Xenopus tropicalis: one gene and its partners. The protein of the gene in region 2 interacts with the protein of the main gene of each other region in a pairwise test. Links are inferred from orthologs where the notes say so. Each region holds a gene or a part of one and is shown on either strand. Other genes may lie near its edges.

The links.
Region 1: the proteins of cdc42 (region 2) and myo9a interact in a two-hybrid assay, tested with the Homo sapiens proteins (3 studies listed by BioGRID and IntAct). The link is inferred for Xenopus tropicalis from reciprocal best matches to the Homo sapiens genes CDC42 and MYO9A.
Region 3: the proteins of cdc42 (region 2) and pak3 interact in a two-hybrid assay, tested with the Homo sapiens proteins (2 studies listed by BioGRID and IntAct). The link is inferred for Xenopus tropicalis from reciprocal best matches to the Homo sapiens genes CDC42 and PAK3.

What each region holds. Positions count from the first base shown.
Region 1 is NC_030679.2:91,972,094-91,975,747, reverse strand, and holds part of myo9a (unconventional myosin-IXa), read left to right. Parts: intron 1-1,126; coding exon 1,127-1,174; intron 1,175-1,471; coding exon 1,472-1,583; exon of another isoform or gene 1,584-1,621; intron 1,622-1,970; coding exon 1,971-2,032; intron 2,033-3,642; coding exon 3,643-3,654. UniProt on the Homo sapiens protein: Myosins are actin-based motor molecules with ATPase activity. Unconventional myosins serve in intracellular movements. Regulates Rho by stimulating it's GTPase activity in neurons.
Region 2 is NC_030683.2:94,443,524-94,447,626, reverse strand, and holds the start of cdc42 (cell division control protein 42 homolog), read left to right. Parts: upstream 1-1,240; 5' UTR 1,241-1,384; intron 1,385-1,393; exon of another isoform or gene 1,394-1,484; intron 1,485-4,103. UniProt on the Homo sapiens protein: Plasma membrane-associated small GTPase which cycles between an active GTP-bound and an inactive GDP-bound state. In active state binds to a variety of effector proteins to regulate cellular responses. Involved in epithelial cell polarization processes.
Region 3 is NC_030684.2:51,559,576-51,563,229, reverse strand, and holds part of pak3 (serine/threonine-protein kinase PAK 3), read right to left. Parts: intron 739-3,654; coding exon 690-738; intron 373-689; coding exon 260-372; intron 1-259. UniProt on the Homo sapiens protein: Serine/threonine protein kinase that plays a role in a variety of different signaling pathways including cytoskeleton regulation, cell migration, or cell cycle regulation.

The DNA of each region.
Region 1 (3,654 bases), on a different chromosome or scaffold from region 2:
ACAGACTTCTAGGTTTCCAGGTTTGCTCTGTTTTCTAACTTTGGTCCAACTTTATGGAGCATTAAATGCCTCTGTTTTAGCAATAATTTTACGGTTTAAAAAATTAGAATTGTGAAGTGGCATGTTCAGAACTGTTGACAGCCTCACACCCAAATACTGTAGTGCTACAAATGAAAAAAAAAAACCTGTTAGGCTCAGTGGACATTAGGCAGTTCCACCATGTCTTATTAGCAGCAGCAGGAACAACTTTATTTAAGGGATTTACACACTTTCATTACGCCACAGACTCACTGACTTGAGTGCCATTCTTATTTGTGCTGAGTTATATGATGATGTCTGGTCAGGCATCCAGAGACCAGGATCACCACCAAATACTAGATGGAAAGTACATGCAGGTGATATTAAACTTAGATTGTAAGCTCTACGGGGCAGGGACCTCCTTCCCACTGTGCCTCATACCACATGGCACTTATATATATATATATATATATATATATTTACTGTATTTATTTATTATATCACTTGTCCTCCCTGTGTGTAATTTTGTATTCTGTAAGATTGTACAGCGCTGCATACCCTTGTGGCGCTTTATAAATAAAGTTATACATATATCCCATATGCAGTATGCCACAAGGAAACTATAGAGTATTAAATACTGCAGTGGGCTCTTAGCCTATACATTATAATAGACACATGTAGTGATAAGCATTGCCCTTTTTCCTCTGCCAGATACGGAAACTACCCTGGAAATGTTGCACCATCCCTGGCAGCAGGCCAGGACTGGGGCTCAGAAATGGCCTTGGCAATCTAAGTACATAGAGGCCCAATCAGCTCGGATCAGCCCACTAAAGAGTGACTGTCTATGGCATCTCACTTGTGCCCCTTTGGTATTTGCTAGAATCTACAGATTGCCAGTCTGGGCCTGCCTGGCAAGCAAGGTTTTTTCATTTGATGGACCATTAGATCAGTGGAAATGGGAGGTGATTAGCATTTGGGAATCTGCCTTTAGTGAGAAATACTAAAAAACCTGGAGCATCTTGTAGGGATTATGGCAGTGAGACCCAACAATAGGAGAATCGCAGTACCTGATATAATTTGCTTACATTATTTTGTTTCTTATTTCAAGATCCAAAAGACAGAACGTAAAAAGAGGAGGAAAAAGGACTCTGACATTGTAAGTTTACCTGCCAGTGTAATCTCTTTATCTACCACTCTGCCCACACCCTAACAGCATGTTTCCCATTCTTGTGACAAACAAGAAAACACATAAAAACCCTATCACTTTGCTCCCCCCTTCTCTATAAAGACTTCTAGCACACTTCTTTGCCTCTTCATGCACAAACCTTCACTCATTTCCTCTGTTCCTGTACCTGCACAGTCCAGCTGAATCCTTATCTTCCTTGACTGCTTCTTTTTCCTGCAATTTTGCTCTGTCTCCTAAGCTTTCTCTGCTATCCTTTGCCTTTTACAGGTAGAAGAACATAATGGTCACATATTTAAAATCACCCAGTACAACATTCCAACATACTGCGAGTACTGCTCCTCACTCATCTGGATCATGGATCGAGCTGCTGTCTGCAAATGTATGACTGACCTTGACATAGAAGCAGTTCATTTTGTGGTAGTGCATATCTACAAAATATTGGGTTCAGTGTGTGAATTCTACCCATATAACAGCTTATTGACTAACATAGAGTAACATATATAGCAACTTGTAGTTCTATAACCAAAGCAAGTTGCTAATTGGTTGCAGTGGATTATTAAGTGCAGATACTAACTTTTTTAGTCAAAATGTCATGCTCCAACATGTATGTCTATATTTATATTGAGTCACTCAGTACAATATGGTTGTGTTGTCTCTTGAGAGCTTGCTACTGTACCTGCTAGTGTTGAACTACCTGTCACAAATTGTTCACATACACACAGTTGTGATTTTGTGCAACTTCTCATCAAACAATGCTGTATTTCAGTGTGCCGATACGCCTGTCACAAGAAATGCTGTTCCCTGATCAATGTAGCGTGCAATAAAAAGGTGAGAAATAGAGTGGATATCTGTTGTCAGTTTTATATTTTTGTATGTAAGCGCTGCCCTCTCATCCTGCATGCTTCTCATGTTACTTTATACCTATCATGGAGACTGTAATGGAACCTGCTAAGTAGTGCTTTCTATTAGCTTTGTCCTCTGATGTTGGGTATCATGTCTGTTAATCAATATAAAGTTTCAGTTTCTTCAGTCTCAGCACTTTGCTGGTTTTATATTGGTCTATATTACTCTAAGAGAATATCTTAGCTCACATTAAGGGTATGTTAGTTACTTTAAATGTATTCCAGTTATATTTCCAGGAATAGCAAAGTGTTAAGCCATATTATCATCTCCTGGATTAATTGCACCAGAACAATAAAATAATATTATCATTATTATACCTGTATGAACATGCATTACAGAGGCCCAAGCTTTTCACTTCTGTGTTAAATTGATGCAGTTAGCCAGAAAATGCCATCTTTATCTAATGGATTGCTGTCTCCATTTTGCAGCAGTGGTTGTTGGGCAGCAAGCAGTGAGCTTATGAGATATGTAGGCAGCAGTCTGGCATCCACTGGTGCTGGATGAAAGAATAAGCTGCTTTACTGGGGAACAGTTAGTTGCATAAGGATGGAACTTTATGACTCCATATTTCTATATCACTTTACCATATAAAAGTTTATTTACTAACGTGGTTCAGTGTGCATTTGTTCATAGGTACAATTTACAATATTTTTTACCAACAGTGTAACAGTTTAATTGCAAGCCTTGCAAATTATGCACCTGAAGCTACCTTATCTCTTAGCTAATAAATTGCCCCAGTGCAGCTATCCTTGGCAGATTTTTGCTTTGATTATCTCACTTGTAATCAACTGCTACAGATAATTGCTGATAGTTTGCTAGTAGCAACTAAACAATATTTTAGTAAACAAACCCTTATTTGTCAATCCTGGTGCAAGTGTTGCAGCCATTTTGCCAATAAAGGCACATTGCATGAACATCAGTGTGGGTTTTCCAGCAAGTGCAGTGTCTTAAACCACTAAGAAAGCCCTGTACCTGTGCCCCTTTAAGGCTCCAGAGCATTCTGCACATTGCACTTTTCATCTTTGTATATAAGAAGGTGGAACCAACAAATCAGTGCACAGAGGAAGTATAGAGTGCATGTGTGTGGGCATATTAATCTATGGCCTATCTGCCTGTTTAACACTGCATCAAAAAGTTGTGAATAATGGTTTCAGTCAATAATACTCAAAATGCCTGTGCTCTTTGTCTGAGACTTTTCTCATTAGCAAAAATCATTATAATCAGCGGAAATCTCCTGACATTTGCAGAGACAAAAAGAAGATGCAGAGACAAAATACATACGAAGACCCAGTTCTGGGTTAGCCTTTAATCATTTGCCCAGTGTGTCATAGTATTTAAGTGGTTGATCTCAGCAAGGGTTATGTAGGGTGCCTACTGAATTTATTCTAAAATTTGTGCCTTCTAGTTTTATCTTTGTTCATTTACTATATTTCTCATTGGTTTTGCTATTCACTTTATTCTTTTTTCTTTCCCTTCCTTTTAAGCATTTTCTATTTCATTTTTAATGTCGGTTTTGTTCTTCTGTCCTTACCCAGAATGACTCTGAG
Region 2 (4,103 bases):
ATTAGTCGCCCGCGACAAATCTCCCTGTTCGCGGGCGACTAATCTCCCCAAATTGCCATCCCACCGGCGAAAAAGATTTCACTAACCTCCCCGTGTGCCAGAGCCCTTAGGGTGAAGACACATTGCTAATAAACGCCAGAAAATACCCTGCCATAGACAATACTGACAATTGCCTCTGCTAAAACACACATAGAGACAGTTATTAATAAATTATCAGCATTTTCTACTTGTGTAGCCACAACAAGTAGCTGCTACTAGTAGCTCCTGTGTCTTCACCCTTAGGGCTCTGGCACACGGGGAGATTAGAAAATGCCTCGAGAGGCAACTTCGCGATTTGCCGAAATCGCCTGCGTGACAAGGGAGATTTGTCGCGGGCGACTAATCTCACCGTGTGCCAGAGCCCTTTATCACAGAACTTGCAAGGCATTTGGGAAGTGAAGTCTTGGTTGGAGGAGAGCTGACTACTGATACAATGTGACAATGGCATGAGCAGATAAGAAAAGCAAAGGCCAGACAGGAACTGATTTCAAAAAATTATATATTACATTGCAATGCGTCAATAAAAACCACCTTGGAGCTAATACAAACTTGAATTTCTGGCTAAAGATAAAAGCTATGATTGTACCTATTAGGTGAGGTTGATATTTTTGTTTTCTAGTCATGTACGCCACATAAAAGCTGAATATGCGCTCAGTACCTGTCCTAGAACTACAACTCCCACAAGCTACTGCTGACAAGCTCAATTCTCACTGACTCGGTTTTTTACGTCCTGTAAATCCTTTGTACCTTGAGTCTCGCTGTCTTTCGCTTCAGGCCAACACTCTGCAAGGAGCCCTCTACCACCACTTCTTTCTGTATTGTAAGACTGTCACTGTCACCATTTAACCCAAACTTCCCCAAATCTGAGCCCACCTAAATATCGTCACTTCAAATGTGTTTTACTTTGCTCATACGGAAGTCACCTGACCGGATATCATGAGTTTGCGGCAGACATTTCACAATACGGGCAAATCACGCCCAGGTTTTTATTTTTAGATTGAAAATGCGAACGACAAATAAAAAACCTTGAACGATTTGAATTAGTACCCGCTCCCCCAGTCTATGTTCTTGAAGCAGTGCGCAAAAAAATTCTGTGGTGCTGTGTAAAATCACCTTTGTATTCGGTACAGCAGCAGGACCAAAGCCCTCAATAAAGATGGCCACAAACCAGTTCTGCTTATTCTTCCCTTGTCAACCTGCAGCAATTCTTCGCCGCATTGTGCAATGACGTCACCACTCCAGAGCGTCGTGACATCATTACGTATACTGACCCCTGCCTGTAAGCCTAGGAAACCCTGCGAGTAGCTGCCAACGCCCGGTGGAGAGAAGGGGAGAGGCTGAGCGGGTAAGTGGGGGGAATCTTTCCGAGCGCTGGCTGTTTGGGGGGAACATTATCCTCACTCGGGGGCAGTGTATGGCTGGAGTGGAACTGTTCGCAACGCGAGGTATATAGGGGAGCGCAGGGGCAGGGAATTGCTGTGTGGCCTCTGTAACAAGGAACGGGGAGCGGCCCGGTACCGCATCCTGTCGGGCTATCTGGTATATGGGGGGTCGCGCCCCTGGGTACAGTTGCGGGCTGCTTGTGCAGGGTAACTCAGTGGGGTTAATTGCGTGAGTTTGACATGTTTGGGTAAACCGGGACTGTATTGGCTGTGTGCGCTGGAATTTGGGGACTGGACATGGTAGGTGAGGCTTATTCTCATTAGCTGTGCTTTCTTTTACTTGGGTCTATCCGCCCGAACGCTCAAGCATTCGGTGAGTCTGCCAGGGATGCTGGGAGTTGTAGTGGGGCTTTAGGTTAAGATCGCTTCGTTACTTGCCCCTCGGGACCCTAAAACAGCAAATTTGGGAGGGGGCGCTTTAAGATCAGCTGTGTTACCGATAGATCGGCGGATGGTGGTGGTTTTTGGGGGGAGCAGGGAGGAAATACTGCAGGGAGGAGGCTGCTGCTGGGGGAGGGTAGGAGGGAGAGGCTGGTTCTGTACACTAAGCTGTCAGCCAGCATCAAGGCCTTTTAGAAACCAGGAAAGAATTTGTAGATTTTGGCTCCTCGGCTAAAATAACCCGTAGTTTGGTGGAGGATGCCGGAACGTCGCGATCATAACTGCTGGAGGGCCGGCCACTTGTGATGTCCATCCCCATTGGCTGTACGGGTTCTGCTCATTCTTCCTCTAATCAATATACTTTGCAAGTTCTATTGGGATTCTGGAAGGCCTTTGATGTTTGCTCTGTAGTGGCCCCTACAGCATTTTTGCCCATGCCTGTAGCTTCCAGGTCTCCAAGGGTACTGAAAGGAAGGTAGAGAGCAGACACTGGGCATTTTCTAACAGCCTTTTGGGGGTGGGGGGGGTTAGAAAACATATAAAAAAAAACTATTTGTATACCTGATTAGCATCCTTATCCAAAATTGGTGTTAGGCGTGGGCATAGAGAGTACTGATAGAGATTATAAAAGTTATGGAGTTTGTTACAGGCAGGCTGCAATACAGTTGCTGTTTTGCTCCCCTGTGAGCACTTAGGGAATTGGTCCCCAAACAGTGATTTGTGATCATCTTGTTCTCCTCCTCTTTTTATAGTGCGCCAAACAGCTTCATAGTGGGCACTCATTGGGTCCCAGGTAGATGCGGTTTGGCAACCCCAGAAAGTTCTTTTTTTCATGCTTTCTGGTTTTGCAATATTTTCTATGTGAATGCTGTGCCTATCCGCTCTGTTGGAATATGGGTTGAATTTTGGCTGGAAAACATGCAACTGCACATTCAGGCCAAAATAAACCCCATGTGGGTACTGACTTGCAGTGTGGTGCCTTTCATTGCTGCTGGAACATGAGGCACAAGGTGTGATGTTACCCTTATGGTGACCTCACTGAGGAATTGTGATACCCTTTGTCAGAAGGAGAAAGTGGCTGTTAGTAGCCAACTAAATTATCTAAAGACCTGCAGCTATGAAAGTGCCCAATCTGCCATTAACCCCTAAGTCAAAAGTAGAGGCAGCACATACTTGGCAGAGATTTCATTTGTGATAGAACATCTCCATGCAGATAAATAAATTGTGAAGATGGCAGTGCCTGCTGCTGCTAAGATCCATTTCTTTGGCCCTGCCACTGCAACTGTGAATCTGAAGCAACTTAATCGGGCCACACCTGGGGGAGCTGCATTGGGTATATCTCACTAGCTTTTGGCATGACAGCAGTCTTACTGTAGGGTTTTGTTTTTGGGTAACGGGGAGGGTTGAAGCATTTAACTTAACAGCTGGAAGATATATTGCCAATTTTAATGCTTGCACTAAGGAATGTTTCCTGGTATTCATGTTACTATTTCTGTTTCCTTTGTGGCAAATAACAAACCCATTCTTGCTTTATGGAAGGGACACTAGATATACAGATATACCTGTCACTATCAGAACCACTGTCACACAAGACAAAGCAGGATCAATGAGCCTTTATTTCAATGGCTCATTAACATTTACTTCACTGCTGCTTGGAATCCCTGTGGCTGATTTAGCAAGAGATAAGGAAGAGTATAAGTAGGTTCAGCTGAGGGGAAAGCAAATTGATGGGTGAAGTTTCCTTGCTTACTCTGACCTCATAGTCGTCATCCTGAGAGAACTTTAGGTGTAAGTTCTTCTGTACTGCTCTGCACTCTCGGTTGCCAGTATAATAGATGGATTTTGTATGCTTGTCTCAACAAAGCTATTCATTGGGCGGACCTGTGATTTAGAAGAAAATAAGTGTGTCACTTCCTGAGACGGTGTTTGATATTGCATTACCATCAAAAACTTTAATCACATTCTTCTTTTTTTGCTAATGGATCCTGGTAAAGCAGGGCCAAAACGACATTCTGTCAAATTCTCCTAGGGCAGTGGAACTTACTCAGGGAGATTTTAAGCTGAGTTGGTGCCATTGAATGCAAAATGTCTGCTGTTTTCATAATGACAAATAAGAAGGTGGGCATATATCAGTCATACTTAACTGGGAAATCTGTATCTGCATTTCCTAAGTAAAACTCATTGAAGCTTGCTGTAAAAAAAAATCAAACCCCTTAAGTGGTAAAAATAATAGAGCCAGTG
Region 3 (3,654 bases), on a different chromosome or scaffold from region 2:
GTCCAGGATAGATGGATAGATAGATAGATAGATAGATAGATAGATAGATAGATAGATAGATAGATAGATAGATAGAGCAGGTTGAAGGCTATCCCATGATTCTTATTTCTCAGACTGAGCAATAAGATATAAAATTGGACACTGTATTACACTCATACTTCCCTTACATGTGTTAATTCAGTAACACCCAGACCTCCAAATGTTTTTCTTCCCCGCATAACAAAATAAACCAGCAATTTGATGACAAAGTTCAACTTACCTGTCTAAATAATTCACAATGTTGGGATTTTTATTTTCCCTCATGACTAAGATCTCGTTAATAATTAATTCTTTTTTCGGCTGTTGTTGCAGGTTCATTTGCTTAATCGCTACCTAAATTAGGAAAAGAAAAGGTCAGGCATGGGAATGAAAACATAACCATCTATAGATACAAAATGTTATGTGAAATTCCAGCAGTGCTTTTTAAAATCTTTGAAAGACAGTGAGCCTTAGAACAGAAATTATATGTGAGACACAAATTTCTGGCATGTCATGCCCCACTAATAGGCCAGGGAACAGAGGACTAAGATTGTCTTGGATACACTGGGAATTATTTAAGCTGTGCTAGTACAACAGCTTGCTGAGACACCAAACTATAAATGTAAAAATCCCTTACAGTATAACTGGTTACAAGCAGAAGTGCAACCTACCTCCTGTCCTGTAGCGATGTCTATTGCTGTGTACACTGTACCTGATGCCCTGGAATTAAATATAAAAAGAAACTAAAAATAAGAAACCAATGTTTGCATGCAAACACAAAAAAATGTCCCAGAGTACATATTGCTAGATACCCTATTCTGTTTCCTGTTCCCACTTATCATAGTGCTCTATTATACCGTACTTACCAAAGCAGTAATACCTACAGAGTATGCATGCACACTTTGTAGTTGTTAAGTTCTAAGCAAATATGTAATGAGTTCCCCCATTACTTATACCGTATGTATCTCCCAGGGCCCTAGTCCCACAGAGAAGTTCTAAGACATATGGTTCATATACAACACTGCTCCCTGCTGCTCCACTCACCCTGTCTTTGCTCATTTGTATGAATAAAACATGAAGTGATGTAAACCATAACCAGCTTACAAATCTACACAAAAGATGATTAAAACAATAAGTTCTATAAAACAAAATATCTAAATAAATTCATTTGAAAAACTGCATCCCTTAAAAGCCAATTTTTGGCCAGGGTCCCCTGTCACATAATAATGGACCAAATTCACATAATTGATATGGCTATCCTTGGTTGATATTGTTTATTTTTTTATGTTCAAGGCCTAAGCCTTTCTGCATACGCCTGCAAGTTGGTTTTATAACAGACAGAATACGTTTAAAATACATGTAAAATAGCTGCAGCTATTTGCTTTATCCCAGTAATCCGTCATTAAAGCAGATCTAAACTGAAAAAAGAAAATGAATGTAAATTTATACTGCTGGTTGTGAGTAATTTGTTTTTAGACTGCTAAAATCTGTACCAGGCTTTTGGTGCCATCTGCATAGCTCAGGGTTACCGACAGCTTTGAAAGTGTATTGCAGAGCTGAAAGCCTGGTATTAGCAATCTAAAACTGCTAAAATGTAAGAAACCACTCAAAATATGAGGTTACTGTAAACCTACAGTGCTCAGAGAAACACTTTTGAGTTAATTTACTTTCATTTCTGTAATGGGTTTAGACCCCCTATTATCTCTTGTTATATTTGCCTTGATTTAATATTATTCACCAACATTATTTATTCCTAAACTGAAAAATTAATTTGATTTAACAGTATTATTTTAAAGAATGTGTATAATGCAAAAGCCTAATCTGCCTGTAGCATACATTTTATTGTTCATTTTCCAGTCAATATAATTGATAGCCCAAAGAAATTAGATACAGTAGAATAAATGATGTCAATCTAACTTGTCTACAGAATGAGTCTTGCTGTGACCAATTTCCCTGCTGCCACAGCACAGCTGCATAAATCATTATTCAGATCCAGACACCTCAAATGAGATCATGCCATAAACTGCATACCTTCAAGTGGCCACTGTGGGGCTCTATAAGACTAGAAATGACATCAGATCAACAAAGATTTCCACTGCCTTGGAACATACTGTTCATGATAAAAGGTACAACAATAATCTCTTGAGATCTTATCATCATGGGGCTTACTATCTAGCACCAGTGCAGTTTACTGATTTTTTTTAGTGAAAATCCATGTATTTTCAAGTGCATAAAACACTGCTGTCTAAATTAGTCTGTGCTATGTAATGAAGGCCTATGGCTTCAGGGGAGGGCATCCTGTAGGATAAAAAGGTTGCTTTTTTTTTGTATGTCTGGCATTTTCTGGCATACTGTGCTTCTGTCTCTTTCAGACATGTTTTTCAGTAATACTTTCCCTTTAACAGGACCATATAGGACACTTTTGTAGTACAGGTATAGAATCTGTTATCTGGCTTGGAAGTTGAAGTTTTCCTGATAAGGTATCCTTCTGTAATTTGGACCTCCATACCTCTACTATAAATCACTGAAACAGTAAGTAAACCCAATAGGATTGTTTGCCCCAGCATGGATTCATGCTGCTCAACTGGGATCAAGTAAATAGGTACTGTTTTATTATTATTATACAGAAAAAAATAATATGTTTAAAACGTAGAATTATTTGCTTAAAATGGACTGTGGAAATGGCCTTCCCGTAATTTTGAGCTTCCTGGATACTGGTACTGGGTTTCCGGATAAGGGGTCTAATACTTGTATTGGTGTGTAGGAACCTGTCACAGCCTTTTAATTTCCCATGATATACATAATATAGGTATGGGATCCCTTATCTGGAAACCTATTATCAAGAAAGCGCTGAATTACGGAAAGGCCATCTTAGATAGGCTCCATTTTAATCAAATAATATTTGATCAAATCATCTATTTGATTAAATTGATCCCAGCTCAGATATAATTAATCCTTACTGCAGGCAAAACAATCATATTGGTTTTAATTATTGATTAAATGATTTCTTAGTAGACTAAAAGTATGAAATACACCTTATCTAGAAAACCCCAGGTCCCAAGCTTTCTGGATAACTGGTCCCATACCTGTACTTCTTCTGTGTACCATTGTAATACTTGACAAATAAATATGTATTAATTTTAATCCCTAAGTGGTGGCTACTTTGAGGCATACAGACAACACAAACAAAATAGCAGTGCAACAGGGAGTGAAACTAATCTCGTTTAGAACTTAAATAGATTATTTGACTTGCTCATACAGACGTAATAAGATATATTGCTTCCTGAGTAATTTTATTTTTTTTCCTTCTATCACTTTATCATGCAAGACCTAAAAAAAAAAAAACTTATGTTTGTGCAGAGCATTAAATGCTCACGATTTTGTGGGGGGGTTGCATTGCAATTGCATACTCTGCAATAAAACAGCCAAAATTATGATTGAAAAATCGGAATTTTGGCTCTTAAATTCACCAACAACTGCCTCCTCTGATAACTTGCGGGGGAACTGAAGCCTGATGCGAGTTTGTCAACACACCTTATTGCAGCAGTGCCCCTGAGCTTACCCGATCATCCTGTGTATATCAACCTTAACAATTTCAATCTCCCCCGCCTGTTAAACAATTGTCATTGATCTGGA